Linked DNA regions of Drosophila melanogaster. The protein of the gene in region 4 interacts with the protein of the main gene of each other region in a pairwise test. Each region holds a gene or a part of one and is shown on either strand. Other genes may lie near its edges. The genes, in order: Sdhaf3, sel, cerv and boca.

What was found.
Region 1: the proteins of boca (region 4) and Sdhaf3 interact in a two-hybrid assay, tested with the Drosophila melanogaster proteins (one large-scale study listed by BioGRID).
Region 2: the proteins of boca (region 4) and sel interact in a two-hybrid assay, tested with the Drosophila melanogaster proteins (one large-scale study listed by BioGRID).
Region 3: the proteins of boca (region 4) and cerv interact in a two-hybrid assay, tested with the Drosophila melanogaster proteins (one large-scale study listed by BioGRID).

The regions. Positions count from the first base shown.
Region 1 is NT_033777.3:16,478,137-16,485,686, forward strand, and holds Sdhaf3 (succinate dehydrogenase assembly factor 3), read right to left. Parts: upstream 4,317-7,550; 5' UTR 4,226-4,316; coding exon 4,144-4,225; intron 4,078-4,143; coding exon 3,968-4,077; intron 3,912-3,967; coding exon 3,741-3,911; 3' UTR 3,725-3,740; downstream 1-3,724. Other genes in the region: Gyc89Db (guanylyl cyclase at 89Db), read left to right, coding at 691-2,700; Dhfr (dihydrofolate reductase), read left to right, coding at 3,125-3,204, 3,255-3,723; Der-2 (Derlin-2), read right to left, coding at 4,893-5,070, 5,127-5,647, 5,732-5,818; Cad89D (cadherin 89D), read right to left, coding at 6,563-6,887, 6,952-7,155, 7,252-7,407, 7,491-7,550. UniProt on the Drosophila melanogaster protein: Plays an essential role in the assembly of succinate dehydrogenase (SDH), an enzyme complex (also referred to as respiratory complex II) that is a component of both the tricarboxylic acid (TCA) cycle and the mitochondrial electron transport chain, and which couples the oxidation of succinate to fumarate with the reduction of ubiquinone (coenzyme Q) to ubiquinol.
Region 2 is NT_033778.4:10,049,358-10,057,748, reverse strand, and holds sel (seele), read left to right. Parts: upstream 1-5,581; 5' UTR 5,582-5,862; coding exon 5,863-5,947; intron 5,948-6,047; coding exon 6,048-6,215; intron 6,216-6,409; coding exon 6,410-6,726; 3' UTR 6,727-6,887; downstream 6,888-8,391. Other genes in the region: magu, read right to left, coding at 406-480; Def (defensin), read left to right, coding at 3,182-3,460; COX7CL (cytochrome c oxidase subunit 7C-like), read right to left, coding at 6,931-6,943, 7,000-7,127, 7,189-7,278; COX7C (cytochrome c oxidase subunit 7C), read right to left, coding at 7,880-7,996, 8,105-8,188. UniProt on the Drosophila melanogaster protein: Involved in embryonic dorsal-ventral patterning which is generated by a series of serine protease processing events where gd processes snk which cleaves ea which then processes spz into the activating ligand for the Toll receptor.
Region 3 is NC_004354.4:15,574,568-15,582,518, forward strand, and holds cerv (cervantes), read right to left. Parts: upstream 3,605-7,951; 5' UTR 3,323-3,604; coding exon 3,244-3,322; intron 3,199-3,243; coding exon 2,585-3,198; 3' UTR 2,419-2,584; downstream 1-2,418. Other genes in the region: CG42299 (uncharacterized protein), read right to left, coding at 490-983, 1,042-1,096; CG7872 (uncharacterized protein), read left to right, coding at 3,867-4,868; CG9215 (uncharacterized protein), read right to left, coding at 6,519-7,951.
Region 4 is NT_033778.4:7,562,849-7,570,546, forward strand, and holds boca (boca), read right to left. Parts: upstream 3,891-7,698; 5' UTR 3,815-3,890; coding exon 3,665-3,814; intron 3,503-3,664; coding exon 3,110-3,502; 3' UTR 3,025-3,109; downstream 1-3,024. Other genes in the region: Rpe (Ribulose-5-phosphate-3-epimerase), read right to left, coding at 1,713-2,009, 2,210-2,392, 2,451-2,636; Vps13 (vacuolar protein sorting 13), read left to right, coding at 4,417-4,516, 6,031-6,117, 6,184-6,381, 6,452-6,805, 6,862-7,083, 7,154-7,290, 7,352-7,583, 7,636-7,698. UniProt on the Drosophila melanogaster protein: Chaperone specifically assisting the folding of beta-propeller/EGF modules within the family of low-density lipoprotein receptors (LDLRs). Acts as a modulator of the Wg pathway, since some LDLRs are coreceptors for the canonical Wnt pathway.

The DNA.
Region 1 (7,550 bases), on a different chromosome or scaffold from region 4:
AACTGGCGTTGCCACCAGCGAATTACCGGCAATAGGAAACGGAAATAAGTTGAGCACAATGAGCTATGTTCCTTTCGCGAAGAACGTGACAGATTTGAAAGACCTTGATGTGGGAAATAGGAGGATTTCCACCGCGTGTCTGCCACATGAACTCAAATTAAACTGTCGGGGCAATAAATCAAATGCTACGGAGGAAAAGCATTGGGTGTTTTTGAAGGCTAGATAAGAGGATATACTCTGACGGCTTAAACATACACCAAATGTATGTCACCTTACATTAATTACGTGTTTAATGGATTTTAAATGCATGTCTCTAAAAATAGGAAACAGATTTCACGCATAAGAACAGCGACTGAATACAATTTAATTTTCACTCTAAGTAGTTACTCAAGACTATATCAGCGCAAGACTTTTTTATGTAGCATCCTAGCCTACTACCAATCACTTAAGTTGTGTACGAGTTTGTTGGCCTAATCCCTGACCCAACGCAACGAAATTGTCCTAAATCCTCCGGGGTACGAACACAGTTTACCTAATTACCAGCTCAGAGCGATGGAAAAACTTTGGCTAACCACACCCCTAAATATGTGACTGCCAACTTTGTTTCGTTACAGGATAAACTTTTACGAAGGCAATTTCGACGATAGGCAGGACTTCACAGGACCAAGGACATTCACATCCTGCCCCATCATGTACGGAATGCTGTACGAGAGCGTGCAGCACTATATCCAGCAGGAGTATGGCATGGAGACCTGGCGAAAGGTCTGCCAGATTGTCGACTGCAAGCATCAGAGCTTCAAGACACATCAGATCTATCCGGACAAGCTGATGCCGGACTTTGCGGCAGCCCTGTCCGCCAGCACGGGCGAGTCCTTCGACTTCTGCATGAACTTCTTCGGGCGCTGTTTTGTGCGATTCTTCAGCAACTTCGGCTACGACAAGATGATCCGCTCCACAGGGCGATACTTCTGCGACTTCCTGCAGTCCATCGACAACATTCACGTGCAGATGCGTTTCACCTATCCCAAGATGAAGTCGCCCAGCATGCAGTTGACCAACATGGATGACGATGGGGCTGTGATCCTGTACCGCAGCGGCCGAACTGGCATGTCCAAGTACCTGATTGGCCAGATGACCGAGGTGGCCAAGGAGTTCTACGGCCTAGACATGACTGCCTATGTCCTGGAGAGCCAAAATGACATATGCGGTGGCACAGCCGGTCCCATCAAGCTTACGGAGGGTCCTCTGACCGTGATTGTCAAGTATCGGCTGGACTTCGATAATCGCGATTATATGGCCAAGCGGGTCAATGTCATCGCGCATCCTTCGCAGCTGAAGATGCCGTCGGTGGACCTGAATGTGTTCCTCGAGCTGTTTCCCTTCACCATTGTGCTGGATCACGACATGAAAATCACACTTGCGGGCGAGAAGATTGTCGAGACGTGGATTCTGCATAATCCTGGAGTGAACCCAAAGACCTTTATTGGCAGTCACATATTGGAGCGGTTCAAGTGCCGTCGTCCCAAGGACACTCAGATCCAATGGGAGACCATTCTGCAAATGCGTACAGTTCTCTTCGAGTTTGAGCTCATCCGTACGGGTCACAATCGTGCCGCCTATGATGCGGCCTTGAACTTTGACTTTGAAAACTTTGATGAAGCCAGCAGCCTGAACGAGGCGCAGGCCATGGCTTTGGCCAGTGCCAAGGAGTTTAGTGCGGAGAACGCCAAGGAAGAGGCAGCAGCGGCAGCCACCTCCAAGGACGAAATCGATCCCGCCACGGGACAGAGACGCCATTCGGTGGGCCTCCGATCTATCCTGTTGAAGGGACAAATGTTCTATATCAAAGATGTGGACTCGCTGATCTTCCTGTGCAGTCCTCTAATCGAAAATCTCGATGAGCTGCATGGAATCGGTCTCTATTTGAACGATCTTAATCCGCATGGACTGAGTAGAGAGCTTGTGATGGCGGGATGGCAGCACTGCTCCAAGCTGGAGATAATGTTTGAGAAGGAGGAGCAGCGATCGGATGAGCTGGAAAAGTCGCTGGAACTGGCAGATTCCTGGAAGCGGCAGGGAGATGAGCTACTGTATTCCATGATACCGCGACCCATTGCCGAGCGAATGAGAAAGAGCGAGGAGCACGTGTGTCAGAGTTTCGAGGAGGTATCCGTCATTTTCATCGAGGTAATGAATATCTATGACAGTGGGTCCAACAACATCCAGGATGCCATGCAGGCGGTGACCACCTTAAACAAAGTGTTTTCGGCATTGGACGAAGAGATCATTTCCCCGTTTGTTTACAAAGTGGAGACCGTGGGCATGGTTTACATGGCTGTTTCGGGTGCTCCTGATGTGAATCCCCTGCATGCCGAACACGCCTGCGATTTGGCCTTAAGGGTGATGAAGAAGGTCAAAGCCCATGCTCTTCCCGGGGTGGCTATACGGGTGGGCATTAACTCGGGACCCGTCGTCGCCGGCGTGGTTGGGATGAAGGTTCCTCGATACTGTCTCTTTGGAGACACCGTTAACACCGCCTCGCGAATGGAGAGCAGCAGCGATCCCTGGATGATCCAGCTGTCCAACTATACTGCGCTGAAGGTGCAAAAGGTGGGCTATAAGGTTGAAGCGCGGGGATTTGTCAAGGTCAAGGGCAAGGGCGAGATGGAGACCTACTGGCTTTTGGAGGGACCAGAGTAGAACTGGAGACTTGTTTGTCTTGGAAAATCCAGGAATATCACCACTATGGTATTGAAATATAAAAAACATATTTTGAGACAGAAAATCTTGTAACCCTTTGGAAATAATCAGGCTCGAAAACCTCTTATATCTAATGTATCTAATAACTTTTTGGTAATAGTTAACGAACTTTTAATCCCCTGTAAAGTATATGTGGATCACTATAAAAATAAATTCAAGACACATTGTATCTAGAAATATTGTTTTCGTGGGAGTGGCGCGAAACCAACCTGAAATCTGACTAAGATCTTCATAAGCGTGTTTCGATAATAGGTAAGTAATCGAAGCTATCGAAATCGGTTCCAGCATTGCCTTGATCAGCTGTTTGAATTTTATAGCTTGGAAGATAATTTTCAAGCTTATGCTTTCTCAGTAAGGATTAAGGATGCTTCGATTCAATTTAATCGTGGCAGTTTGCGAGAATTTCGGAATCGGCATCAGAGGCGATCTACCATGGCGCATTAAGTAAGTTGGTAACAAGGATTGAACCGCAGCTAAAGCTTTTGTACCATCAGATCTGAGCTGAAGTACTTCAGCCGCACCACCAAGCGAACAAGTGATCCCACCAAGCAAAATGCCGTGGTAATGGGCAGGAAAACCTACTTCGGAGTGCCGGAAAGCAAGAGGCCTCTTCCCGATCGGCTGAACATAGTGCTGAGCACCACACTTCAGGAAAGTGATCTGCCCAAGGGAGTACTATTGTGCCCCAATCTCGAGACGGCCATGAAGATCCTTGAGGAGCAGAACGAAGTGGAGAACATTTGGATTGTGGGCGGTAGTGGAGTCTACGAGGAGGCCATGGCCTCGCCAAGGTGTCACCGGCTGTACATTACCAAAATAATGCAGAAGTTCGATTGCGACACCTTTTTCCCCGCGATCCCTGACAGCTTTCGAGAGGTCGCGCCCGATTCCGACATGCCACTGGGTGTGCAGGAGGAGAATGGCATTAAATTCGAGTACAAGATTTTGGAGAAACACTCATAATAAAATAATACACTGATTTATTTGCCTTGCGCATCTTCTACTCCCTTGGCCGCCAGCATCAGCTCGTATAGTTGGACTACTTGGTCGTCTTTCAACATTTCTACAGTCTTGGGGTCAATCTCTTCGCCCAGCTCTCCCTTGGGCTTGCCCCGAATCCCTAGTTGTTGGGTGATTGTGGACGCATATCGCTGCAATGGAAGATTTGCTTAGTATGGCGCCTTTTTGTTTATTACGTAAAACTTACGGCCCACTCTGTCATAAAGAGCTGTGCCTCCATGGGATTGCACTTGAGGTGTCGCCGGAACTCGTCCCGCACATAGTTATCGCCCAGAGCACGAAGTTCCGCTGGAAGTCCTACGGAGTACAGAAGTTTAGTTGAAATGCATGCAATTTATAGTAATAGGGAATTTTTCATCTTACCTCTGTGCAGTCGCAAGATCGTTTTGTACAGCAGTCGGACCCTCTGAGGGTGGGTCAGTTGGCTCATCAAAATTCTGGACATCCTGAGTTCATATCATATAACATACTAATACTATACTATTTAGCAGCCGGCTAAAAACTAAATACGAGCGAATAACAACTGTTTTGTCGCAGCCAGTGTTGGCTAACGTCAAATTGAGTTGGCAGGTGGCAACGTATTAAAAGTTTGGCGCGCATTTGAATTGTCACCTTTAAAAGTTCAATGCTATTTTCATATTATATTTAAGTTAGGCACTTCGAATTGAACCACACTTCCGCAAACCAAATAATGTAAAAAGAAAATGTTTTTTTCAAATGGTTTTTTTTTATCAATCCCCAAGCGATTTCAAGCATTTTAAAACTGCAGGTCTTTTTATATAATGATTTATTTGTGGCATGGTTTGTATATATATAATCATCACATGTGCAGTGTAGGTTCAATCTGTCGTGGATTCATCCCTTGGGGGTAAATTATAAATAAAAGAACATCTCGTATGGAAAATGAGCTCTGTTTCAGAAAACAAACCAATAAATGACATACACACACGCTCTGCACCAACTTTGGCTAACTATTGCACGCCTTTCTCTCACTACTATACGCCTAATTACACCAAGCACCAAACAGAAGGTGGCGGAGGGTACACAACATTGTTGTCATCGTCGTCGTTTTGAACAGAAGAACGTTTTAACAATCAAGTTTTCTAGTTTTGCTATTGCGGCGCGGCAGCAACAGGCGCCGCTCGATTCGCTGGCTCCTCATCCTGTCCATCAGCCGCAATCTCTTCCGGTAGCAGGGGCTGACCCTCTCCGCCCCAAGGAAATCCGCCAGGTCGATCCTCAGCAGCCGCCTGGAAGTTGCGTTCGATGTGCTCATTGAAGAGACGTTTCCTAAGGACAACAAGTCGTTATTGCAAAAGTTATATCCCAATTCAAAGTAAACTCACAAAAAGTAGGGGGTTTTGATCAGTCTGTAGCCGTTGGACAGTGTAGGATAGACGTCCTCCAGCACGTAGTAGATGTGGCCAACACCCATGCCGATGACATCCACCCACACGGTGTTTCCCAGAATCATGGAGCAGCAGAGGAGCACCCACGGAAGGTACGGCGCCTGGAAGTTAAGCACCCCGAAGAAATTCATTGGCACCAGTGGATTGCGTCGTGACCACACATAGACCAGCATTAATGTGAAGGCCTGGCCCAGGAACAACAGGTTGACGAAGATTCCGAAGAAGGTCATTAGCACGCCGCCAAAGATGAACATCATGACAAAGTCGGAGCTGCGTCCGCGGAAAGATCCGTCCTCCAACATTCGACAATATCGATATGTAAACACCATATTGAAAAAGAAACTGATGCCTATTGTGCCAAAGTACAGGAATGTGGTGGCCAAGCGCCAGATCTGGAACTTGCGCACAATCAGCGTGGGATTGAAGTAGAGCTGCAGCGGCGACACCAGGTCCAGGTGCTTAAAAGTTGGCAAAAAATATAATCGAAGATAATACACGTACACGTCATCCGCGATTTAGAACGCACTACGGGATACACTTACCACCGCCAAGGTGGTCAGCACGCAGACCGTGGTGTAGGCTCGTGTGACCACCGGGATCTCCAGGTAGAACTGCCGCAGGGCATTCATGGCGGCTCCTCCTCCAACGTTGGACTCAAAGTGTGCAGCTTGGCAAGTGGGTTGCGATTGTATCCTTTGGACTCTTCGCTTCTTCACTGTTTATTCACCTACAACCAGCGGCGGACTATCTCTTTTTGGTAGTCCTCTCACCGGATGTTGTGCACTCCAGGATTGAGACGTGTTAATGGATAGGGAACAGCGCTCGGGCGATGGAAAATAAATGGAACGCTAGCTTTTATTTTTATGACCAAGGTTAGTGATGGTACAAATACTAGTGACACTGGCGCCAGATATCGATAAGCCGTAATCGTGACACGAAACTTTAAATTAATTTTATTTATGTGGTTAACAGAAGGAAGAACTTAAGATTGTGTCGTCTATCGAAGAGTAGTTCATCCAATATTTGAATGGAAATAATATTTATAATAACAGATAAGTTCAATATGATTTTCACTTTGAAATCCATAAGCTACTATATGATCAGAATGAATTTCTATACTATTATATATTGTATTTCCATATCTTCAATGGGTTTATACTTAAACTGGAAATTAATCAAATTTTCTTTTGAGTTTTTCTACTGCTCAATTGATTTTCCCGGATTTCAAATATATCACTTTCTTTTTCAGAGTTGGGGGCTATATTAATTGTAACATCTCTCAAATTTATTGCACTTGTTTCTTAATATCTAAAGTCTATTCTAGGTTGACTACACTAAAAATTGCACTGCGTTTTGTCTAGCTAAAAAATGAACTAAAACAATGAATTAGATTTGCTAAATTCGAGCGGGCGGCGAAAGGACTGCTCCAGGTTGTGCAGCCGCTGCTCCAGGTCATTCATCGAGTTGCGGAGGGCGTGGCCCCGGGGACGCAGTGAAATCTGCGGTGACTGCTGCATGAGGTCGTCCTTGACCCCGGAGAAGGAGTGGCGCACGCAGGAGCGCTTCTCGAACCGCGTGTTCTGGTAGTGGGGATGGTGACTGGGGTGCTGCTGGTGCTGGCGGTGCTCACAATTGGCACTGCGACAGTTATGCGCCACCAGTGGCTCGTCCGTCTTCAGAGAGTCCTCATAGGTGTCACTGTTGCAATGAGATTTCAAATGTTAAGAAGGCAATCCGAAATAAAGCACACTCTTCTACCCACCTGCTGTCCGTATTTGGCTGGCGCAGCTCCAAGTGGGCCTTCGCATGTCTGGGGCATAAAACTTCCGTGTTGTTGCCGCGCTTAGAGCCTCCGTGCTGAAAGGAATCCGGCGAGGTCTCGTACAGCTCGCGGCTGCTCAGGAACTCCACACCAGAGTCCTGGCCCGTCGAGTGAAGTGAGAACAGCGAGGTTTCGTAATTGTTACTGTTGTGATGATAGGTTGCAGTTTAGTATGTTAAGTCTAGTTCATAACAATTGTGCCAAATTTGAAACCATATTAAATATAATCTATAGACTTACAGATTGTTAACGGGCTGACAGGCATTGTACTTCAGTACGAACGGAGTGCTCCCGACGCCCACAGCTCCATCGCCCCCACTCGTCACCGCCGCAGCCTTGGCAATGGACTTGGGAAGAGGAACGTCTATGTACTCGCGCTTTTGCTGTCGCTGTTGCCTGTTTCGGGGATGATGGCAATTAGTGTCCAGAATGGAAACACGTTTGACTAGACGCGGTCTTGACCACGGCCATTCACTCACTCGTTCAGGTACTGATGATGCTGCTGCTGTGTGGCCATCGCCTGCTGCTGGTGGTGATGG
Region 2 (8,391 bases), 2.5 Mb from region 4:
AGTGTTTTCTCGGGATTTACGAAGTAATCGCTTGTAGCCTTGGCAGAAAGTTTGGCAGGCTCCGCTTACAAGCACTTGTACAAATTGTACAAAAGACTAAATGCAACTTCAAATGATTGCCGTCATCATCATATAACTTCATATATGAATTGGATTACTAGATACATCTACCTATGTATGTAAAAAGTTCTGAGAGGTAAGAACTTCTAGAGAGGAATATGTTCGCCGGCTGAATAATCTGAATAATGATATTAATTTAACACCTTCTATTCAAAATGTAATATTGTAACTTAAATATGAGTAACTGTATAAATTCAGCAAACATTTTACTGCACATGATTAACCCAATTCACTTTGGTTTGTTCGGGGAATATTTTGTTAACAATTTTTCGAAAGTAAACTTACCAACTGATCGTCACTTTTTCCAGTCGCAATGAAAACCGCCAGCCAAGTGACGAACAAAACACATCTCGCCAACATTTCACTTAGCAGTTCGAATTCGTCAATTAACTGTTACTGTGCTTCGGAGGATGGGGGATTGGTTTGATACGCGTGTTTATTGCATCAAGTACGATTCTCTCATTATAATCAAAGTTTTTCGTTTATTTCACCATCTTTTTCGCAAAGTCGCAATTAGATTTTCTTCCTAGAACTTTTACTTTGCCGCTCTCCGATTTATTTATTTACCGATTACCGTGGTCTATTTATAGTGAGAGAGGTGTGTGCGTGTGCATTAAGGTGTTGTGGATCTTCTGTTTATATAATGCGTCTTAATGTGTGCGATTTTTGGTTCGTTTCGATTGGAAAACCGTCCGAAAATGTTCAGGAAGCGAGGAGCGAGGAGCACGGATCACAACGAATCTGCAGAGCGCACTTCAATAGTCAACCGATCGCAGCCGAGTTCCACACACGACTGGCCATTTGCCTTGGAGTGGAGTGGCCCAAAACGCAAGAGAGAGGCCCCAGGTGAGAGTGGGCGAAGAATCGGATTCGGAATCGGAATCGGAATCGAGCTGAGAGATCGGCGGAGAGAGCGAGGGACATCGCCGCCGCCAGAGTGTCTGGCGTGTCGCTTCCAATATCTTATCTTTGCCACACTCCGACTTGTGGAGGCTGGACGGACAGCACAGTGGAGCCTCTCTCAGTTAAACCATAGGTCAACGGTACCGAACGAAGATATTGTGACTGTAATTCCAAACGTGTGCTTGAACGACTAATTAACTATCACTACCCCATTATTAGTACACTAAAACTAAACCAGCATTAAAACAGCATTTTATGTATGAATTTATAACTTAGGGATGTTCTACTGTAGCAGCATAAAAACGATCACATTCACACACCAGCAGACAGAGAGCAGCACTTGTGTATGCGTGTGAAATTTATCTTTCCTTGTGCATCTCAAGAGGTTGCCTCACCAACAAAAGCAACAAAAAACCTCTAAAACAAAGCGGCCAACAGTTGCACCAGCTGCTCAGCCAGCGGGGGAGGGGCCAGGGGCAAGGGGCGCAGGGACGTCGGGGTAGGGGCAGGCGGTCAGGGGAAAACGTGAGCCGTCGAGGGCCCCGCTCCTGTGATTTATAGAGCCGCTGGCCAAGGAGTTCGCCTGGAGAGGATTTTAGGTGGATGGAGGAGGCGGAGGCGGAGACGAAGTGGAGTTGCCGGTCTCCGTCTTCGATTCGGTGTGAAACCTGCCAGACAGTCTGACGGCGGCGATAACTGCCCCCTCTTGCCCACTACTTGATATACCCCAACACCCCGAACACCCCCGTTCCTGCCGTCACTTTGTTTTCGGCTGTGCCACACTCCGTTTTGTGGTCTTCTTCGATGATCGAGCATGCACTGGGGAAAATATACCTGTACTTGTAAATAGTACCTTCGTCCAGAAGTAGCAACTCTAGCTAACTCCAAATCTTCTACAATATTGAGGGATCTATAGATTTGGATTTTGGGATGTACATATGCAGTTCTGATGCGTACACCTATCTATAAGCCTTTACATATTACAAAAAAATCCTCATGTATTGATATTAAAGACTCTCTGTGGAAACGCAAAAGATTCGATATTTTCTCCTCGTGTGAAGATGGGCATGCGGGCAACACTCTAGACTGTAGACGGTTGTAAGGGGCGGGGTAGAAACTCAAGTGGAGTGGACTGGCAGACAGTATGACGCCAAAATGCAAGACAAGACAACCTGGTCGATAACAAAGGTAAACAGGCAACGGCCAGCCAAGGAGCAGGGCAACTGAAAAAGCCTCGGTCGTGGGATTCGATCGGGATTGTCGGCTCAGCGCGACTGGGCTGAGAACCAGATGCAGATGCCGATACAGATATAGATACACGTACGCGCAGATACGGATTCAGATACAAGTACACCCGCCCCTGCCGCTGTATGCCCAACTAATCATTGTGTGATTCTTGTTTGTTTATTTGCCCGGCATTATGAAGAGACTTTTCGGTAGAAATTATTTATTGTCGCATGTGTTTATGTATCCGTAACCGAGTATCTCAGTTGCTTGAGCCAACTGTGTAGCTGTGTAGCTGTGAGTATAGCCCTTAAAGTGGCACCCAATCGGTCAGTTAGCTAGAAATTCAGATGATTAAATATGGATTCCCCTACATCAGCTAATTTCAACAGTTTGGGAGTAATAAAATCGAAATTGGATGCTACTAAAGGGCACATATTTACTTAGGCTTTTATCAACGTTGCATATATACAAATATCCTGCATATTTCGCAAACCAAAGATTCTTTCTCAAGTAAGGCCTAAACAATTTGAAATGGTTAATTTCGTAGATGTTGCTTTTTACAATTAACTTGTCATGTGGAATATACTTTACTGCCTAAAATTTAAGGCAGTTAAAATCCCTAGAAATGCAAATAACTTATTGCAGAAACGGGCTCTGTCGGCTGTATTTTGCTCTTATCTATGAAATATTGTCAATATTTTCCAGGCAAAGCACATGAAATAATGATCTAGACAACGGTTTCTCCCATTTGCAGTGAACTTAAAAATTAAAAACCCCCGAGACGTGTCTTCCTGCACAGAAAAAGAGACAATGGGAAGGTAAGTCACCGGGTGGGAGTCCCTGGGCCGAATCGATCAGCCCGTCGCATTGCTATATAAGCTCGGCGAAACCACAATCTGCAACAACAGTATCTCTCCAGTTGTATTCCAAGATGAAGTTCTTCGTTCTCGTGGCTATCGCTTTTGCTCTGCTTGCTTGCGTGGCGCAGGCTCAGCCAGTTTCCGATGTGGATCCAATTCCAGAGGATCATGTCCTGGTGCATGAGGATGCCCACCAGGAGGTGCTGCAGCATAGCCGCCAGAAGCGAGCCACATGCGACCTACTCTCCAAGTGGAACTGGAACCACACCGCCTGCGCCGGCCACTGCATTGCCAAGGGGTTCAAAGGCGGCTACTGCAACGACAAGGCCGTCTGCGTTTGCCGCAATTGATTTCGTTTCGCTCTGTGTACACCAAAAATTTTCGTTTTTTAAGTGTCACACATAAAACAAAACGTTGAAAAATTCTATATATAAATGGATCCTTTTAATCGACAGATATTTAAATATTATAATGATTTGTAATTATTACTAATTACTTTTTATGGAAATAATTGGTAAGAAGGAACTGGGACTGTAAAAATTTCTTAATAGTTAAGCTACTATTTTAATAATAAATATTGATCACAGAAAATTTTCAAAATATTTTATATTTCTTTGGCTTTATAACTTTCAAAGTCATAGAAGAACGACTTAATTATTCCTTGTGTATGTTCCTTAGTCTTAGTCTGTGAAAATAATCTGCGTTTATCATTACCAATTCGTACAACAAAATATCGGTCATTAGCGTTAGCGACTTACCATATAAGTTAACTAAACCTAATCGAGCTAAAAAAAAAATTGAGGTCCCGAGGAGCACGATCTATATATACCAAATATATACGTATATATTTACTTTGTTTAAAAAAGCTCTTAACGGGAGCAGTTATTGGTCTTCATGGCGATTCAAGGCAGATTTTAATAAAGAAATATTAAGCTCAGTAAACTTTACTTAAAAAAGCAATACAAATTTGAAATTCTTTTTAAATTTGTATAATTTCTCCCATCGATTGTTTGCGTTGTACTTTAATATAATTTGGTTACATAAAGCTTTTGCTGTAGTTTCCAAACATACAATGTCATATAACGGCATAATTAGTCAGTTTCTAACTGAGCAACAAACGGAAACAGCTTTCGCATATACTTTATTCCGCATAACTTTGAAAAGAAACAATAATATTTTCTATTCTTACGACAAAAATACTCATTATCATAAACCGGCAGCCTTTCAATTTACTATAAAACACGAATGCAACCTGAACGAGCTGGAACAGTTCTCGATTTCATATCACAACATGAAGATCACGATTATTCTGGCGCTAACTCTAGTTGCGGTTTGCTTAATGCAGGTTCGATCTATTCCGAAGGATTCCGAGAATAGACTTCTGCAAAAGGAGCTTCAAAGGAGTCTTATCCAGGATGCGAAGGAACATGTCCGCCCAAGGCGACAGTCCTGCATTGAGCGGTGCAATTCCCTCTGTTCGAAGAAGGGCTTTAAAGGTGTTTGTGTTAAAGGTTTGTGCCGTTGCACTTGATTTTAATAAGGAGATATATATTTTTCTATATATTTTTAAATAAAATCCACATTAAATCTATGTGTTTTCTATTTAAGATTGCGGTGCTTCTCGAACTCATTCATAGCTGAATAAATTATCATCGATCGCTTATCTCGTAGCCCGCGAATGCCACTTTCCGTTTGGCAGGGTCAAAAAATTGAACCTACGCTAAAAGGTATAGCAACAATTTGCATTGCATTTCCGTTTCTTTTGCGGCATTGCTCTATAAATACGGCAAGTCCGACGACTACAATTCGTTCTTATCAATTAACCGAGCAAACAAACAGACGCCAAGAAAAATGATCATCAGTGCAAGCGAACAAGGGGAATAGGGAAGAGAAACACGCGCCGAGAGAGAAACACGACACTTAATTAACGCCAATTATAATGGTTAATAAGAGTATGTAGAAATCGAGGAACGCGGCCGACTTGTGGGTTTCTTTTAATTTACAAACGCTTTGCCGGTTAATTACGCGAACCCCTCGTCCTCACATCTCGATCCGAAAACAGAGCAACCACTCGCGAGCGATTCTCCATTTGCACTGACTCTTCAGTTATCGGCTCACTATATAGTAGCACATCGGCTAATGTACATAAGTTTTCGATCTAGAGCTAAGAGAATACGAGAATTGAGATGCACATATGTATATAATGCAGCTCTCCCCCAAACTTAAACATTTCAACGTGCATCGTGCTACGATCAAGATTTGAATTAACGCGCGCACTTGACTATCGATATTTTTTTTGTTCAAACGATTTACAAATGTTAAACGACATCATTTTATGTGAATCATCAAATTAAATCTCTTAACGACAAGTACACATATTTCATTTTTAGCTTAAAATAGGTAGAGATGGTCACCTTAAAAATATTTGATAGCCAAAACTGGCGTTAGCTAGAAAAGTTCTATCGATAGCCGGGTATTATCAATAAGGTTTCTTTAAAACGTTTACCACAATTCTTGTGAACGCTGACCCAGACCCACTGACCGCGTCCCTCGTCACCACATCTTGGGCATAAATTAAGTAGAATTCTTCACTTATCGCTGCAGAGCATCAAGAACCACGTCGCTCTTAAGTCGTCGTAAATACAGCACACGTCTTTATCAACGCCGCACTTTTAAACGGAAGGCGCTTCTGCTGACGTGGTTAATGCAATTAGTTTCCACGCGTTAAACTATTAAACAATCAATTAAAAAGATGCTGACGAAGGCGCTTATCCTGTTCGGCCTGCTGGCCTTGGCCCAAGGTTACAGCTTCACCTCCCGCGAGGTCAAGTGTCACGGTAAGGAGAATCCACACATAACAGCGCGCCAGCAACAGGCGGCAGTGCACTTGTTGGCTGGCCCTGGGAGCCCGGATAATTGAGGTTCCATAAATTACAGTGTGCAAGGCCGTGGTTACGGAACTGGAGGAGGCCATTGCCAAGGAGGACCCCCACAAGATGGCCGATGTCAGTGGATTCCGGCTGGACGCACAGGGAAATTCGATCAGCAAGAAAGTTCGCCTAGTGAAATCTGAAATGTTCCTTACCGAACTGATGGAGAAGATCTGTAAGTAATTATTACCATATGGTACGGAATAGCATAGAGGCTTGATAAAGACCAGTCTAATCTTAAAACATTTGACGTTAGTCAAAAGTTTTACCTTCGAGCGTAGCTATTGTTTATCAATGAAGATAGTTATATGTGGTATTCTATTAATGATAACACTTTGCTTATCATTCCTAATATTTTCCCGTTCTAAGGCGAAAAAATGGACGACTACTTGAAGGCAACCTACAAGAGCAACGGGAAATTCACACTCCTCAAGATGATCATCAATGGTCAGATGAACCCAGACTCCTCGTTGGTTGACTTTGTGCAAGATGGTGATCTCAACAAAAGCCTGGGGCACTTCTGCAACGAAGTACTGGAGGACAACGATGAGATCTTCGTTAAAGCCTTCCAGGCCGAAGAGCTCGGAAACGATTTAGACATCAAGATCTGCTCAGAACAAGCGAGCTACTGCGACGAATCGCCGGTCCAGGAGGAGTATGACTTTGATGGCAAAGAGGAACTGTAGTTTGTCCCAGTGAAAGCTTAGTTAATTAACGAATTTCCTTGATCGCCGCCAGTGGAGGTCTTTGTACTGATATTTCGAACGAAAATTATGTTTAGCTAATGTAAAGAAAACCATGCCAAGTGTTACAAATTATGTACGACAATAAATTCCATGTGCAATGTATTTTTATTAATTTATTAACGAGTGTTCTATGTCATTTTGGGATTACTCATCCTTGCTGTAAAGCAAACATTAATAACGATACGATTTTATTGGATTACTCGGATTACTTACGGATCATTGGTTACATTACGAAGCATCTGATGGCGAATAACTAGGAACGGAGCCCCAAAGCCCACGACTCCCGCAATTAGGTAAAATAGTGTGAAACGCATTGGACTATCCAAGCCAAAGGGTAAGTTCTGTGAGGGAAATTGTAAGTTCTTAGAATGGTTAGCTGCGTGTTGACCTTGGATTAACTACCGCCCCAGGAGAGCCGCCTGGATATCCACTCCCATAACGCATCAGCGGCCCGCTAAACTTGCCAATGGGTTTACGAAGTGTGGGCCACATGAGTAAATTTTAATCCGTTTGTTGAGACGGGAATAAGAAATTATTTGATTGCTTGCGAGTGAGAAGTTACTCCCAGATTTCTAGCGAACGAATGAAAGTTACTGGCTTTTCGAAAAATTTCCTGACATATATCTTTATAGGCAAGCCTACTTAAGGGAACCCTTAAAACTTCACCATTACTAGAAATATTCCTTCCAGTTGGCAACTTTGCGTGTACATCGGTTTCTGACGTCGTTCTACCAAGTCCATGTTATTTGCGAGCACAGTTTCCATAGTTTAGCCACAAGATATTGATACTAAAAGCTTTAAAAATAAGCGTGGATGCATTTACAAGTGCCAATACCAAACAAACTGTTGTTCCACATAAGCCGTCTTGCCAGCTTTTAAAGAAAACATCCACCAATCGGTTCTACGGTCACGGGTAACTTTATTTCGTTTCCACTTTTTACTTAAATTTAAGCTGTAACACACTGTAATGGCCTGCCGGCCAACTCAGCAGATAACGCTACATCTGAAAAGTGAATATTTATATTAAAATGCAAACCGAATATAACCAATAAACTAACCTTACATTTGTTGTTGCTGTCGCCAGGGGAGCCCCTTACTTCTTGAGCAGTTGGTGCCTGACGATCAGGAAGGGCGATCCGAAGCCCAAGACACAGCCGATGGTGAACAGGGCGGTGATGCGGTACTTGTTCGTCAGCCCGAAGGGAAGATTCTGCATGAGAATGAGGTGTTTTCCGGTGTTAGAATTGATTTTCCTCCCAATCCTATGCGAGTCGTGCAAATTATGTAACCCGCAATGGGCCCATTTTTAGGGACTCACCTCTCCGGGAACTCCACCATGTCCGCTAAAGCGAACCATCGACTGGGAAAAGTTGCGTGCAATCACACTGCTGCGGCCCAACATCTCGCAATTTGACTTATTTGATAATAATTCCAGGAAAATAAAGTTCGCAGTGGGTGCGCAGAATAGAGATGACAAATGGTCGATAGCTGCCGTGCAGCTCTGCTGATTACGTTACGTTAACGTTAATGCGGTTTCTGTTAACTTTGCCTTTGGCTTCACAAAAAATACATTTTATTTAAAAAAAATAAATTTGTAAAATGTAA
Region 3 (7,951 bases), on a different chromosome or scaffold from region 4:
ATCGCTTAAGTCACTACTGAATAACAGACATATCGCTTAACTCACTATTGAAAAGTTGATTGCAATATACAACAAGAGAGAATGATATAGTCAAATTCCCCGTTACTCGGCTAGTGTGAATGCGAAAGCGAAATTTAATAAATTTAATTTAATTTTAATTTTAGAATCTGTATGGTGAATCTCAACCTTCTAGCTTTTATAATTCCTGAAATTTTGGCGCTCATACGGACATGAAAAGATCGACTCGGCTATTGATCCTAATCAAGAATATATATACTTCATATGGTCGGAAACGTTTCCATCTTCCTGTTACATACACTTCAACAATTCTAGTATAGCCTTTAACTTTACAACGGGTATAAAAAAGTATCAAAAAATTCCAAAGGAGTGTTTTTTATTTATAAAGTTAATTCTCAACAAGACTTGAAGTCATATTAAAATCTAAAGTTTAAAGGCGCTTTTTATATATAATTAATGACCTGCCTGTTCTTAGTCCTCATCCGAGGAAGTTTCATTCTTGATCTTGTCGGACTTGCGCTTTTGCAACTCCTGCTCCACGTCGGGGTCCTTGACCAGGTGCTCTAACTTGATGTCGGACAAGTTGGGACAGTCGCGCACCGGGCATAGGATGCCAATGTTGTCCTTGATGATCATTAAAACCGTTTCGCGGTCGTAGATATGACCGCACCTTTTGTTGCGCACGGGGTGCTTTATCAGGAGCTTGGACCAGGGATCGTGGAACGGGACGACCTCGACGCCGAAGTCTTCCATGATAAGGTCCTCATCAAGGCCGGCGATATTCTTTTGAGCTTCTGATTCCACCGCATTCATGTAGTTCGTGTCCTCAAGTGAGTTATTGACATCGATGCGCATCTGCTCCACAGCTTCGGGGCGCTCCTTGCAGACTTCCTCGGACTTCTCGATGGTGTTGCTAGAGTTTTTGGTTAGCAACTTCTCCCCGTCATCGCTGGAATTGGACACGACTGTGGGTGGGTGTGTTTTAAAGATGTTAAAGATGTCTCGGTTTGTCACATGGCTCACCTTCTGCCATTTCCCTGAAGAGCTTTTGGTGGGATTTCGGGTCCATTTTGATCATAAATTTTATTCAGACGCTTTTCAAATTGCAAATCCAGAATATTTAGATCGAAATGTCAAGACTGACGCTTCGGTTAAGCTAGGACCGATAATTTCGACAGGCAGCCTATCGAGGGTGTAATCGTTCTTTTGAGAACCGTTAATAATCGTGATGTGCGTCAAGTTAGCGTAGGTGAGTTAGCGTCGGTCAGTTAGTGCAGATGGCGGATCGGTAGAATTTTGAACATGGGGAAGTTTTTTATTTATTTTATTTTGTTGGGTTGTGGGCATTAGAGTGGGCGTGGCAATATGGGCATGCGCTGCGTCTATGTCTCTAGAATCTGTATGGTTAATCTCAACCTTCTAGCTTTTATAGTTCCTCAGATTTCGGCGTTCATACGGACATGATCAGATCGACTCGGCTATTGTTCCTGATCAAGAATATATATACTTTATATGGTCGGAAACGCTTTCTTCTGCCAGTTACATACTTTTTAACAAATCTACTATACCCTTTCACGAGTAACGGGTATAAAACTGAATATATTTGATAATATTATACTGAAGCTACCAATTTCCGATGCTGTAAATTGCATAATTTATTATGAAATAAAAACACTAATACTTATTATGTCAGCGGAACATAATAAGAATATTTGAGTCTAGAGGTTTTATCTCCAAGGGCATGACAACGCCATGGCAACCCTTTTTGCTTGTGTCAAGAACTCAAAAAAGAAGGCGATGACTTTGCAGTCTACAAGTCACATTTATAATTTGGCGTGAGGACCTCAGTTGATTCACATATCCGAGCGGATAATACTTAACTATTTGCAAAGCACAGCATTTTTAAGATGACCATTTCAAGAAAATGCTTTACGCATACAAGTTGATAGGTTTTCTAAACGAAACAATGAAGTCCTACGATTCTTCATAGAGCTCACCGATTTCATTATTCCGTTCACCGCTCCCGATAGATTCTTCGTTATTTGTAGAGATTTCCAGCGCAAGTCGCCAACAGCTGGCCCATTGACCAAGGCACCCATGCCGGAAGCTTTTTCCGGCAAAAAACCAAAAACAATGAGGAAGCAGCCATGCTGAAGGACCCCATGGCTTGCGGGGATTCAGAGCCGAAGCTTAGCAATGGTAAATCAGTCTGGATCTCCTCTGAAGATAGTAGCGATCCGGATAATGACAAGGTGCCATTGGTGCCATATGAGTCTGATGTGGATCGTCTGCGGCAAAGACTCGCTAGAATGTTTCGGCGATGATTTCGATGGCAATCGTGCTATATATTCATTTGTTTCTACATTTGTACCAATTTTCTAAATAAATCGCAAACTATATACATACGTGCATACTGCACTTCTAATATATTTTCTCTAAATTTTTTCGGGACTATTTTTAAAACATGTTTATTCGTTGTACCTTAAATTTTCATCAAATGGTTGTCTTACAAGAACGTGATATCTTACGCTGCGTTATTAGTCGACAAGAAGGAAGTTGCGCATAATTAATGATCTGCCTGTTCATCGTCCTCCTCCGAGGAAGTTTCTTTCTCGATCGCGTCAGACATGCGCTCTTGCAACTTCTGCTGTAGGTTGGAGTCCTTGACCAGGTGCGCTGGATGGATGTAGGACCTGTTGGGACAGCCGAGCACTGGGCATCGAATACCAATGTTGTCCGTGATGATCAGCATCACCGAGTCGCGGTCGTAGATGTGGCCGCACTTTTTGTTGCGCACGGGGTTCTTTATCAAGGCTTTGGACCAGGGATCGTAGAGCGAGAAGACCTCGCCGCCGGTGGCTTCCATGATAAGGTCCTCGTCATGGGCGGCGCTATTCGCTTGACCATTTGTTTCCGCACCCGCCTGGGGAGCTGCCGCTTTCATGAAGTTTTTGAACTCGGCTGAGTTCTTGACATCGATGCGCTTCTGCTCCACCGCTTCGGAGCGCTCCTTCCAGACTTCCTCGAACTTCTCGATGGTGTTGCTAGAGTTTTTGGCATGCTTCATAGCCTTGCTGAGCAATTGGTGCTTGCTCTTCATTCGGATGAGATTCTCGGCGAGATCCACGTTCTGGTCCAACAACTTCTGGATCTCCCTGCCATCACTGAAATCGGACACGACTGTGGGTAGGTTTTAAAGATGTCTCAGTGTGTCGCATGGCTTACCTTCTGCCATTTCTTTGAAGAACTTTTGGTTTTCCAATAAAGTGGTAAGTGCCGAATCCACATGGTAATTGAAGTCCATTTTAAAGCCCAGATTCTATGCAGACGCTTTGCAAATTGCAAATCCAGAATATTTGGATCCAAATGTTCAAGACTGACGCTTAGCTAGGTTCAGCTAGGACCGATAAGTTCGATAGGCAGCCTAACGAGGGTGTAATCGGTATTTGGCGAACTGTTAATAATCGTGGTGTATAAGCATGGATTTTATGCCTGAAATTTAAGTAAAATAAATGTGCGTCAAATTAGCGACTCTAAAATAAAATGTAAAATGAGTTAACTTAGAGTGACCATATCCCCAACATACGGTCTTATCCACCCGCGAGCTATCGCGGTTATCGGTGTTATCGGCCAATGTCAACCTGGATAACGAGCGGCGGCCAACTTTTCAGTGTGCCAAACGCCGAGCAGACGGACGAGCAGCGCCAGCGCGACCGCCACTGCCACCAGTTGCTGCGGACCAATCCAAGTCACAACCAATCCGCTCCGATCCGATCCCAGCCAACGAGTGCCAGCTGTGCGCCCCAGCTGCAGCTACACGTGTCCCCAGGGTGAAAGCGCTATCCAAGATGCGGACGCACGGACTACGGTTGGTGCTCTTGGCCCTGCTGCCCACGATGGCCCTGGGCCTGCTAGAGGGCCTGTACTGTGGCAAGGAAAACTGTTACGACGTGCTGGGCGTCACCAGAGAGTCGTCCAAGTCGGAGATCGGCAAAGCATACCGCCAGCTGGCGAGGCGCTATCATCCAGATCTGCATCGGGGTGCCGAGGCCAAGGCGGCGGCGGAGACGCAGTTTAAGCTGGTGGCCACCGCCTACGAGATCCTGCGCGATGAGGAGTCGCGCACGGACTACGATTACATGCTGGACAACCCGGATGCATACTATGCGCATTACTATCGCTACTACCGGCGACGCGTGGCGCCCAAGGTGGATGTGCGCGTGGTTATCGTGGTCGTCCTAACCATTGTGTCCGTCATCCAGTACTATTCCGGCTGGCAGCGCTACGATTCTGCCATCAAGTACTTTGCCACGGTGCCCAAGTATAGGAACCAGGCCCTGGAAATAGCTCGCGACGAGATCCAGGAAAAGATCCAGAAGAAGGGCAAGAATCGTATGTCCAAGAACGATCAGCGCGATGAGCTGGAACGGATCATCCGGCGGGTGATCGAGGAGAAGATGGACGTTAAGGGCGGCTATGCGAAGCCGACACTCTGGGATGTGCTGTGGGTGCAGCTGATCATCTGCCCCTACACGATACTCTCGTTCATCGTGTGGCACGCTCAGTGGTTCTGGCGCTACACGGTAATGAAGCAGCCGTATGGCCGCGAGCAGAAGCTCTACCTCATCCGCCGGCACCTGGGCATGGGCCAGCATCAGTTCGAGGCGCAGGAGGACAAGCTGATCGAGGAGTACCTGCATCTGAAGCTGTGGAAGCGCGAGAACTTCGTCGCCTGGAAGGCAGAACAGGAAGAGGAGATGAAAAAGAAGCTGGCGGAGAATCCACGATACAAGGCGTACAGGCGATACATGAAGAACCACGGACCCGGCCGCATCACCTTTGAGGATTAGCCGCTGCTCTGCGATGTTCAAGTTTCATTGTTCCATCTAAAAGTCTGTTGTGTGCGTGTTGTAAAACCGATCCCAAATTCCTCGCCCTCGGCATCCCCATACCGTCTAAATTTTGATACATTTATATATATATATTTAGAAATTTTTTGTACACCAACTATATCAATATGAATTATGTTAATGTCCCGGTGTTGTCCGCCAAAGGGCGAAACGTTGACCCCGCCGGAGCGATCCGCCAAAACCGGTTCAAGAACGTGGCCACGTTCGGTACGCGTCGGCACAGTGTCCACTGGCTGCCGTGAACGAACCATCCTAGAACAATTATACCCCTACCTGGCTGGTCACAAAAAAAGCACGCCACATTCGCGTGTTTCCTAACTAACTTGACTAAACCGATTACTGTAATAAACTAGATAAAATTCAAACGTCTCTCTTACTGGTTGTTCACTGTGCCTGGTTTGCACAGTTGTTCTGGATGGCCAAAAATTCGATCTCGTGGCATTTATTCGCTCTAAACAGCATCTCTCCGTGCTTTTGTTTACACAGTTTGCTTAGAAACAATTTCGTTTTTTATTGTTTCTTGGTTTGGTGCGGTTGCTGAAAGTTAAACTTAAGTACGTGCTTGAAAATAAGCTGAAGAGTAAAGAAGTCTAGATTTTTCAATGGTAGCCTTCAAATAAAGTTGATTTGTTTTGCGAAATGCTGACTTTAGTTTCGGATACATGCGTGTGGCTCTTGCATTTCGCTATTCGCAGTTCACGTATACCAATTTTTATTTAAACATGTCTTCAAAGTCCTCAATTTGTTTAAAGTAATATAACAGCATAAGGTAGTGAAATAATAAGCATTTATTACCTTATCATTTCTTCTAAAGAATCAAAGTCCTCAAGTTGTTTAATGTAATATAATAGCATAAAATAATAAACATTTACAATCGTATAATTTCTTCTAAAGAATCAAAGTCCTCAATTTGTTTAAAGTAATATAACAGCATAAGGTAGTGAAATAATAAGCATTTATTACCTTATCATTTCTTCTAAAGAATCAAAGTCCTCAAGTTGTTTAATGTAATATAATAGCATAAAATAATAAACATTTACAATCGTATAATTTCTTCTAAAGAATCAAAGTCCTCAATTTGTTTAAAGTAATATAACAGCTTAAGTTACTAAACTAATAAACATTTATTACCTTATCATTTTTTCTAAAGATTCAAAGGCCTCAGATTGTTTAAGGTAATATAAGCATAAAGCATAACTTACCAATATAATAAACATGTATTAACTTTTCATTTCTTCTAATGAATTGTTAAACAATAAATCCCTTTAAAGTAGCTAGAATATAAATGCACATTGTTAACTACTTATTGTGGGTTTGTAAGGTTCTTCGCAATTGCTCCCCAAATAATATTCGCATTAAGTAATATTCCATTCACATTACTATATATGTTCTATTTAAAGCCACTTTCCATAAAAAATAGCCAATATTTCATAAGCTTTCTATCCGAATATCTCCATTTTATTTACACCGATTTCTTAGAGCTACGCTTCTTAGCCTGGTTGTCTAAATGGTACGGGGTGGGGAAGTTTGGGGCCATCCTTGTGTGGAGACAGCCCCTTAGTGGTGCGGTGAGTTGTCCCGGTAGTAATACTATTCTATCATGTACTTGGATTCGTCACAGAACTCCTCGGTGTCCAGCAGATCGCCGACCAGTTCCTTGACAGAGTCAACGCTCTGGTAGCCACCGACGTACGGGTAGGAATCGTCATGCTGCAGCCCTTCGCGGTCATTGGCCTCCTGCTCCGCGTTGTCCTCCTCGTTGAACATGAAGTCATTCGCCACAATGCACTCCTCGAGAACCTTTGTCTGCTCCAGCTCTACGGAGTCCAGCGAAAAGGACTCGGGGATTTGCTGTTGCTTGCGCGCTGACTCCTTCCGTGCGGAGGCATTCTGGTTGCGACTGGATGCATCAGCGGATGATGATGCGACCGATGCCTCGCCGTTGCCCGAGCCTCGGTGCTGTTCCATATGAGCCGACAGATAGGTCTTCTTGGTGAAACCCTTGTCGCACTGCGTGCACTGGAACTGCTTCTTGCCGGTGTGCGTCCGCCGATGGGCGGACAGAACGTGAGCATAGGCGAATCCCTTGTTGCACACCTCGCACACATACGGCCGCTCGCCGGTGTGGATCCTCTCGTGCTTCTTGCTGCTGCCAAAGTCCGAGAAACGACGCTCGCAGTGCCGACAGCTGTAGGGCTTCTGGCCGGTATGGACGCGCATGTGGCGTCGCAGCTCAACGTTTGAGATGAACGCCTTCTGGCACACCTCGCAGGAATATGGGCGCTCGTTGTTGTGACGCCGCATGTGGGCATTTAGCGCGTGCTGGTACTTGTATGTATTACCGCAAACATCGCAGATCTTTGGCGAGCGTTCGCAGTTGCGGCGTTTGGTCGTGGAACCGGCCTTAAAATCATCGTCCACGTTCGCCGTCAGTTTTTCATGCTTCACATTGGGCGAAACGCGACGGTAGGTGCGCTTTTTCTGCTGGTTGGCGGGATGAGTAGGCGGCAACGGCAACGGCGGACTGGCCACCACAGACTCCTCGATGAGCGGAGTCTCGATCTCGTACAGATGCTCCGGCGTGTTTTCGTCATCCCAAGGATCCAGTTCCAGCATCTTGGCCTGCCCCTCATCCTCATCCTGCTGTTTTTTAGGGTCCTTTTCTTCTGCCTGCTGAGTAATAGAATCCTGCGCTTGAAAGTCATTCAGGGATAGGACCATCGCTCCGTCTGGTATCAGGGATAGTGAATCGGTCTTCTCCTCCTTGACATCCTCGGAGGGCTCCGTGCTGGTAGTTATTGTACCGCTTACTGAACTGGAAGAGCAGGGCTCCACGTTGAGCCTCCTTATTTTCAGTGTTGCTGGCAGCCGAACGTGAGCCTGTTCCAGATCAAGCTTAAGCTGCTCCTGCTGCTTATCGACCAGCATAGGGGCAGGAGGAGCAGCAGCAGCGGCGGCGAAGACGGCGGAGGTCGAGGTAGAGCGGCTGGCGGAGCGAAATAGCTTCTGGACAGCGGTGCACT
Region 4 (7,698 bases):
TACAATCAGTTTACAAGTGGAAAAGTATTATTAGTCTTAACGGGGGGTTAAATGAAGCGCATATTACACAAGGCACACGATGTTTTAGGCGGAACATGAACACAAACCAATATGTAACTGAAATATATACAAGAAATATACATATAACGGATACATATATTCTATATATATATTGTAGTGCTAGCAATTAAGCAGATGTGATGGTGTCTAAATTTATACATGCATATTATCAAGCGAAAGTGGAAAGCTTAGATTATACTCGAGACAAATCTGTGGGCTGTTGTAGATCGAGCATACTAGCTATAATGACAGAGTACAGATCCAGGACAATACAAACTTATAAAGATATACCCATATCATAGAAACTATGCTTACTTCAATATCGTGCAGTGCATGAACACAAGCCCGAGTTTTCCTGAAACTCTCAGGGGTTTTACTACTAAGCTTCAAATGCATTGACGTGAAATCACTGACGACTTCAGGACCACATCGGATGGATATAGTTTGTGCTTGAACTCAGGCAGGACTCCTTTGCTGTTGCTTTGGACAGTAAGCCACCACACCTTTCACCCTTTCAGTTTTCTGGGGTTCACTCTCCTTGTGCATTTACGATCATTCGGATCATGGCGAGCTATTTTTATACACCCCATGCTCCAGGCTACTATCAAAACGCTTAGCTTTATGTACATTTAGTCTAAATCGAATACAACCCATATATTATATATATTGTAGATGTAAAATGCTTAGCATTGGCGATCGGAGTGAGTGAAATAATTTACACGTGGCATGAACTGCAGAATAGATAATTACTAAGTACAATACGCAAACAGTTGACACTCAAACTCAGAATCGCACAAGCCCCACATCCTAGTTGAAATTCTGCGCTTAACGGGGATCGTCCCCAAGGATTCGATTCAGTTTCGCATGCTCCATGTGCATGGAGGGACACACTACACAAAGTACATAAGAACAGGCCCTATTAAACAAAGAACACAAGAATTTGTAGCGAAAAGTTATGTGTAAAATGTAGCAAAATCCAAAAACCAGAAGCTGATAAACAAACTAGTTGAATTTACATGTGTCGCGCATTATAAAGATGAAGCATAGTATATGTACTCACGTATCAGAATATTATATGTAAATGTTTAAAGATGATAATTTGATGAAAAGCACTTGTTATCTATGCACAGACGGAACTTTGTGAAGAATTTACAATAACAACCTTTGACAATAAAGACAAACTGAATTTGTTTTCCTGTGAGCTAGACAAGCGCATCGGAGGCATTGAGAATTTATGAAAAGTTTTACATTCAGATCTTGAAGTTTTGACGCAAATCGAACAATATTGTTGAACATTTATTTTTGAAAACTCAGAGAGTACCAAAACCATGACAATAAAGCCGGCATTTGGCCAATGTCCGACAATAACTGGGAAAGTGCAGTAAACTAAATGTAACTACATAAAGTACACGCAGACACACGTATAACCAACTAAATGCTAAAAGCAACATGTCATACCAAACATGATATATACCTACAAACATATATTATATAAATGTTAAAAAATAAATGTATAAAACCACATACGGTTGTAAGTTTCTTTTAATGGTACCATTTCCCGAGGAATTTTCCCCATTACTTGCAATGCAATTTGGTCAAAACATTTCGCCTATCTAAAAAATTCTTTCTTAAGCTAGCTGGTAAATGAATCTCTATTTGAGGTAGCTGTGCACCACATCGCGCAACTCCTTGATGACCTGCGACTGATCGGAGGCGCCCACCACGGCGGTTCCCGAGACGATCATGTTGGCTCCGGCCTCGGCACAGCAGTGTATAGTCTTGGGTCCCACACCTCCGTCCACCTCGATGTCCAGGTTGGGGTAGTTTTCGCGCAGCCACTTGACCTTCGGCATCATATCGGCCATGAAGGATTGTCCGCCAAAACCGGGTTCCACGGTCATCACCAGCACAACGTCGGCAATGCTCAAGTACTTCTCCAGATCTTGTACCTAAAAGGTAAGTGCAACAGGTGGTTACTCGTTGGATATTTTCAAAATTGTAAGGAACTTCAGACCTAGCTTGGGACAAGATCTAGTGGAAATATCAAATCTATAAATAATTTCAAACAAATAAGCAACAAGCTGTGGCTATACAACATACATAGGAGGTATCAAGTATCAAAAGTGATATAACCCTAACCTCAACCTACCTCGGTGCCCGGCTTAATGGCCAGGCCCACCTTCATGCCCGACTCCTGCACTCGGCGACTGACTCTGACGACATCCTGCACCGGTTCGACGTGGAAGGTGTAGAGATTGACACCGGCATCGGCCATGGGCTCTATCCACTGCTCCGGATTCTGGACCATCATGTGCGTCTCGAAAAAGGCCGTCTATATGGGGTTGTGGCATAGGTAATTGAATATCTGGCTCAGATGACTGCAGACTTACCTTGATCTTGTTGCGCAAGCTCTTGACCATGGGGTGACCAAAGGTGAGATTCGGCACAAAAGTGCCGTCCATCACGTCCAGATGCAGGTAGTCCGCTCCATTGTCCAGTAGTTTCTGTGACTCCGCCGCTAGGTTGGAGAGATCCGCATTGAGAATGCTGGGACCGATCTTGGCTTGGACGGGCATCTTCTTGGTGGAACAGCTACTCAACAGGCGGAGCAAGTAGAGCACGTCGCGGTTCGCGGGTGGCGTCTTGTTGACTTAAGGTCACACAGAGGGGAGCTGGAGCTCGAAACATTTGAAAGGCGATACGATAACTTTGCCGATGGCACCGTGAGTTGTGTAGTTGGTCAGCGATTAATTTAGAGTTTTGCTTAAATTTTTCATTTATTTTGTTTTTGATTTGACACATACGCAGTGTATATAAACAATCTAATAGAGATACAAATATTATATTCAAAATATGTTTATTGAAATATTCATATTTTTATCCATATTTATTCCATCCCGCAAACGGAGCCGTTTCCCTGTGAATGGCCAAGCAAAATACATATGTAGCTTCTTTAATAAGTTTGTTTAATAAATTTGTTTTATTTTAATTGAACTTTGATCTTAAATAGTGAGAATGTTTTGATGTGCTGGTATGCCGTGGAACCGGCCTACAGTTCGTCCTTTTTCGCATTGACACCTGGGTACTCCTTGTTCTCGATGGTTACGCCCTTGCAGCGTTCCTGCTCGATGAGGAAGTCCTTGGCGTCCCAGGCTTGTGTGCCGTCCTTGAAGAGGAAGATGGCGCGGTTATCGTCAACCATGTAGCGCTCCGCCTGGATGTGGTTGTTCCAGAGGCTTGTCTGCCAGAGCTTGGTGATGGTGTCGCTCTCCTCCCGGGTTGGATTACCGGTCACCGAAACGAAGGTCATCAGCGTGCGCCCCTTTTTGGACACCTTGAGCAGGTCCTCGGGGCTCTTGCTGTCCAGATTGCTCAGGTCCAGCTTGGGCTGGGGGCGCAGGTGCTCGGGCAGCTCATCATCCTCGAGGGGCTCTTCATCTTCCTAAGAGAAGATTAAAAGAAGGGGTATCAGTTATCCGTCTCTACAAATGATGAATCCTTAGATAGGTGGGAATCTAAAGGGTTGGCATTACTCCCTTGCTAGGTGCGAATCTGGAGAGTTGGGTCCGATGTGTCGCTTTCCAATCGCAGTGTTGTTACCTACCTCCCATTGATCTAGCAGACGCTCGAGGTCCGCCTCGCTGTAGTCGCGTATATCCTTTTTGGCCCACGCCGGTTTCTCCTCCTCCTTGAACTTCTTGGCCAGGACGAGCGGGGTCAGAGCTAGCAGCAGCAAAACAAGACGTGTTTGCATGGTGTTTTATAAATATTTTTCCTATAGCTCAGCAATTCGCACGGTCAAACACGTCACCTAACAGTTTGCCATTCGCCCGGGAACGCGACCGAACAGCTGATTGAGCGTCCCCAGGTGGAGAACGCAAACGGAAAACACAACAGCTGTTAGTTTCGGGCGAGCATTTAAAGAACGCGCATCGCACGGAGTTACTACTTTTTTGTCGCGTGGAAATGCCGCTGGTAATTGGGTGCAGTAAATAGAGATAAGAACGGGCGTTGCACACGTGCTCTGGAGTGGAGTAGTGAGTTAATCGCACCAGCCCTACTCCAGCTGACCCTGGACAATCGTTTGGCTTGTTAGTTTATTTTGGAACAATGGGCCTGGCGGATTGTGCCAAAATATTTGAAATGCGTTCAACGATGACATCATCGACATTGTGTTTTAATCCGTCTCTCCGTTCCATCTGTTTGGTTTCTGTGTTTACATATGCATGTATTTTAGATCAACTATAGACCGCACAGCGAACGCCAGATTGTTTGAAGCACTCACCACGACCACATCAATTGGAATAACAACCACAAACTTGGAGGAAAATCAATAGGAGCATCTGCTAGGACACAATGGTCTTCGAGGCGGTGGTGGCCGATGTGCTGAACAAGGTGCTCGGCGACTACATCGAGAACTTGGACCGGAACCAGCTGAAGATTGGCATTTGGGGAGGTGAGTTCCAGTTCCCCGGAGAGGATGACACCATTCTGCTCCACCCTCACGCAAAAACATCGCCTTACTGCGGTACCCATTGTTTATTGGTCTATTTGCACGCAAGTGCCCAGAAAAAACAATGATGGCGGTGACCTTATCCTTGGCAAAATACTATTAATGACCTAATTTCGTCGCTTCTAAGTGAGCCGTATTCGCAAGTTCATGCGAACCCAATGAATTCTTCTGAGAAAGAGAAAAGACGGAGGAGCATTCAGACTTCGAGGGGTGGGACAACTGTTGCATCTTGCTGTGCGATAGAGCAATTCTTGTGGTTTCTCTTGGCTCTCCATGAGCTCATTTAGTCTCTGCCTTTATATCTTTTATTTACAAATCTACTTGTATAGGGTTTCTGTGTGAAACATAAACAATTCTTCGGTCTTTTATCTGAATGTACTCACTTCACTTCATGTTAAGTGGGTTGTAAATTCCACTTCACGAAGACAAGTTTGCGACAAACCCAGTAAACGGGTTTGTTCAAAGAGTGACGTTCGGCGACAAGCCTGTTTTAATTCGGCTGATCTTGAACTTGGTGACATAATGCCTTGCGTTCATAAATTCATGTTAATTAGCATTTTGTTTTAAACTTATATAAGAGTATTTCATTCAAATATGCTTGAAGTAAGAAAGACCGGGCTTATGCTTCGTTAGAAATGAATGAATATATGCTATAAAATGATATTTTCTCTACAATACCTAAATATTTTGAATAAAACTGATTAGCTTAACTAATCAAAAATGACCTAGTTAAGTCAATGGAATATGTGTGTATATATTGCTTCTATGCAGGGTATATTATTTATATTATATTATTTGCCCAATGATTCATATTTGTTTTCATTTTGCAATTTACAAGTCAAGCGTGTTATATGTACATATATTGTAAAATGCAATCAGGTGAATAACTCTTCTTGTTTATTGAAGCAATCTAATTTAATCAGTTGTTACAACACTGTTATCAGAGTAACTTATAATTAATACTCTTGTATTTAATGTCGATAATTGAACACCACTTGCAGAATTATGATTATTGGCCAGATATGAAGTTTGTAAAGTAAGGCCAAACATGTTCCTATCAGTGCGATTCGACTGGCCTCAAATGTTGGATAACTTTAATGGGGTCGCTTGGTCGTTAAACTATTGACACACAAGCGTAATTCAATGTATAGTATATTCACCAATTGTGCTGCCCATTTTGCATTCCAAGCATAACAAACACTTAACAACTATAAATGCCGCATGCCCAAAATGCCAGACATTGGTAAACAGTATTGACATATTGGTGCGCCCGCTGCTTTTTCCATTTGCGTACTTAACACTTTGCAAAGCCTTAGTCATATATAAATGTAGCTATAGCGCTCTCCCTATGTAATTAACCCGTAATTAATTAATAGGCATTCGCTCCCACTTTTGCAAATGACTGATTACTGCGACTGATAAGACTAATGAAAGCAAATTCTGTCTTTGTTTGGCAGGCGATGTCGTCTTGCAGAACCTCAAGATACGGGAGAATGCCCTGGACGAGTTGGACCTGCCCGTACAGCTTATCTATGGTTACTTGGGTATGTAAAGCATTAGTTTCCAACTGAATTGGATACTCATACACTGTGAATTTAATAAATTTGCAGGCAAACTAGTGCTTAAGATCCCCTGGAAGAATTTGTACAGCCAGCCGGTAATTGTCAACATTGAGGATCTTTATGTCTTAGTTTCACCCAACAACAATGTCCAGTACAACGCCGAAAAGGAGGCCAAATATGAGATGGACCTCAAGAAGGCGGCGCTTGATGCCCTGGAGGCAGCTCGCAAAAAGGAGTTGGAAATGGGTAAGCGAATCTTCTTTTCCATTCTTTGAATGAATCGAAATATATATATATATATTATACTCATTCACAGATCAGCCCAAAGCAGATGCAGGATTTGCCGAAAAGCTAACGGCGCAGATCGTTAACAATCTGCAGGTGCAGATAACCAACGTTCATCTGCGATACGAGGATACCACAACGACGGGTAGTCCCTTCTCCTTCGGCATATCCCTGCATGAGCTCGAACTTTACACCACCGATTGCGACTGGGAGAAGTGCTACATGGCCCAGCAGGCGTCGCAGGTCTTCAAAATAGCGAATCTCTCATGTCTTTCCGCCTATTTGAACTGTGGTGGACAACTGTACGCGAACAACAAGAGCGACCTTTCACAGCAGTTCAAGACGAATATTGCTTGCAAGGAAACAAAACCCAACTACAACTATGGTAATATTTTATAATTCTGTACGAGAAACACCTAAAACGTTTCCTTGCGGTTATAGTGCTGGGTCCTATCTCTTGCAATGCCAAGCTAAAGCTAAACATGAACCCGGAGCTCGATGATCCGCCATTTGAAAAACCTAAAATCGATCTTACGCTGGAAATGGAAAAGCTTAATGTCGGCTTGACAAACACACAGTTCGACAATCTCATGAAGCTTGGAGACGCTATGAACCGCCAGCAGTTGGGCATACCGTACCGGAAATATCGTCCCTACAATATACGTAAGTATTGATCAGACTCTGATTTTTTTCAGTAGTTATTAACCATAAATTGATGTATTATTTTTTTTAGCATACAAAGGCCACGCCAGGGACTGGTGGCACTTTGCAATAACTTCTATTCTAGAGGAGGAAGTAAGGAAACCCAGAGAGAGCTGGACTTGGGGACACATCAAGACCCACAGAGAACGCTGCAACACTTATGCACAGGTGTGTGGAATGTCTTAACTAAAGAAACTACAGTATCCACAGTGCACATTTTACGTTTTAGAAATACAAGGAGCAGTGCTTAAGCAAAAAACCGTCAGCCGTGCTTACGGAAACCTGCCGTTTGCTAGAAACGGAGCTGGACGTTTTTAACTTGCTGCTAATCCGGCAGAGGGTCAACATCGAGATAGCCAAGCAACGAGAGGCAGTGCCTGAACAAAAGTCGGGCTGGTTCAGTGGTTGGGGATGGGGCGGCGGAGCCAAGAAGGATGACCAAACCACCAGTCAAAAACTTGGTAGGTATTTAATTATTTTACAGAAGAGCGATCTTTCAATTTAAATTTTCAGTTGAGAAGTTTGAAGCGGCAATGACCAGTGAAGAGAAAGAGAAGATGTACAGAGCTATTGGTT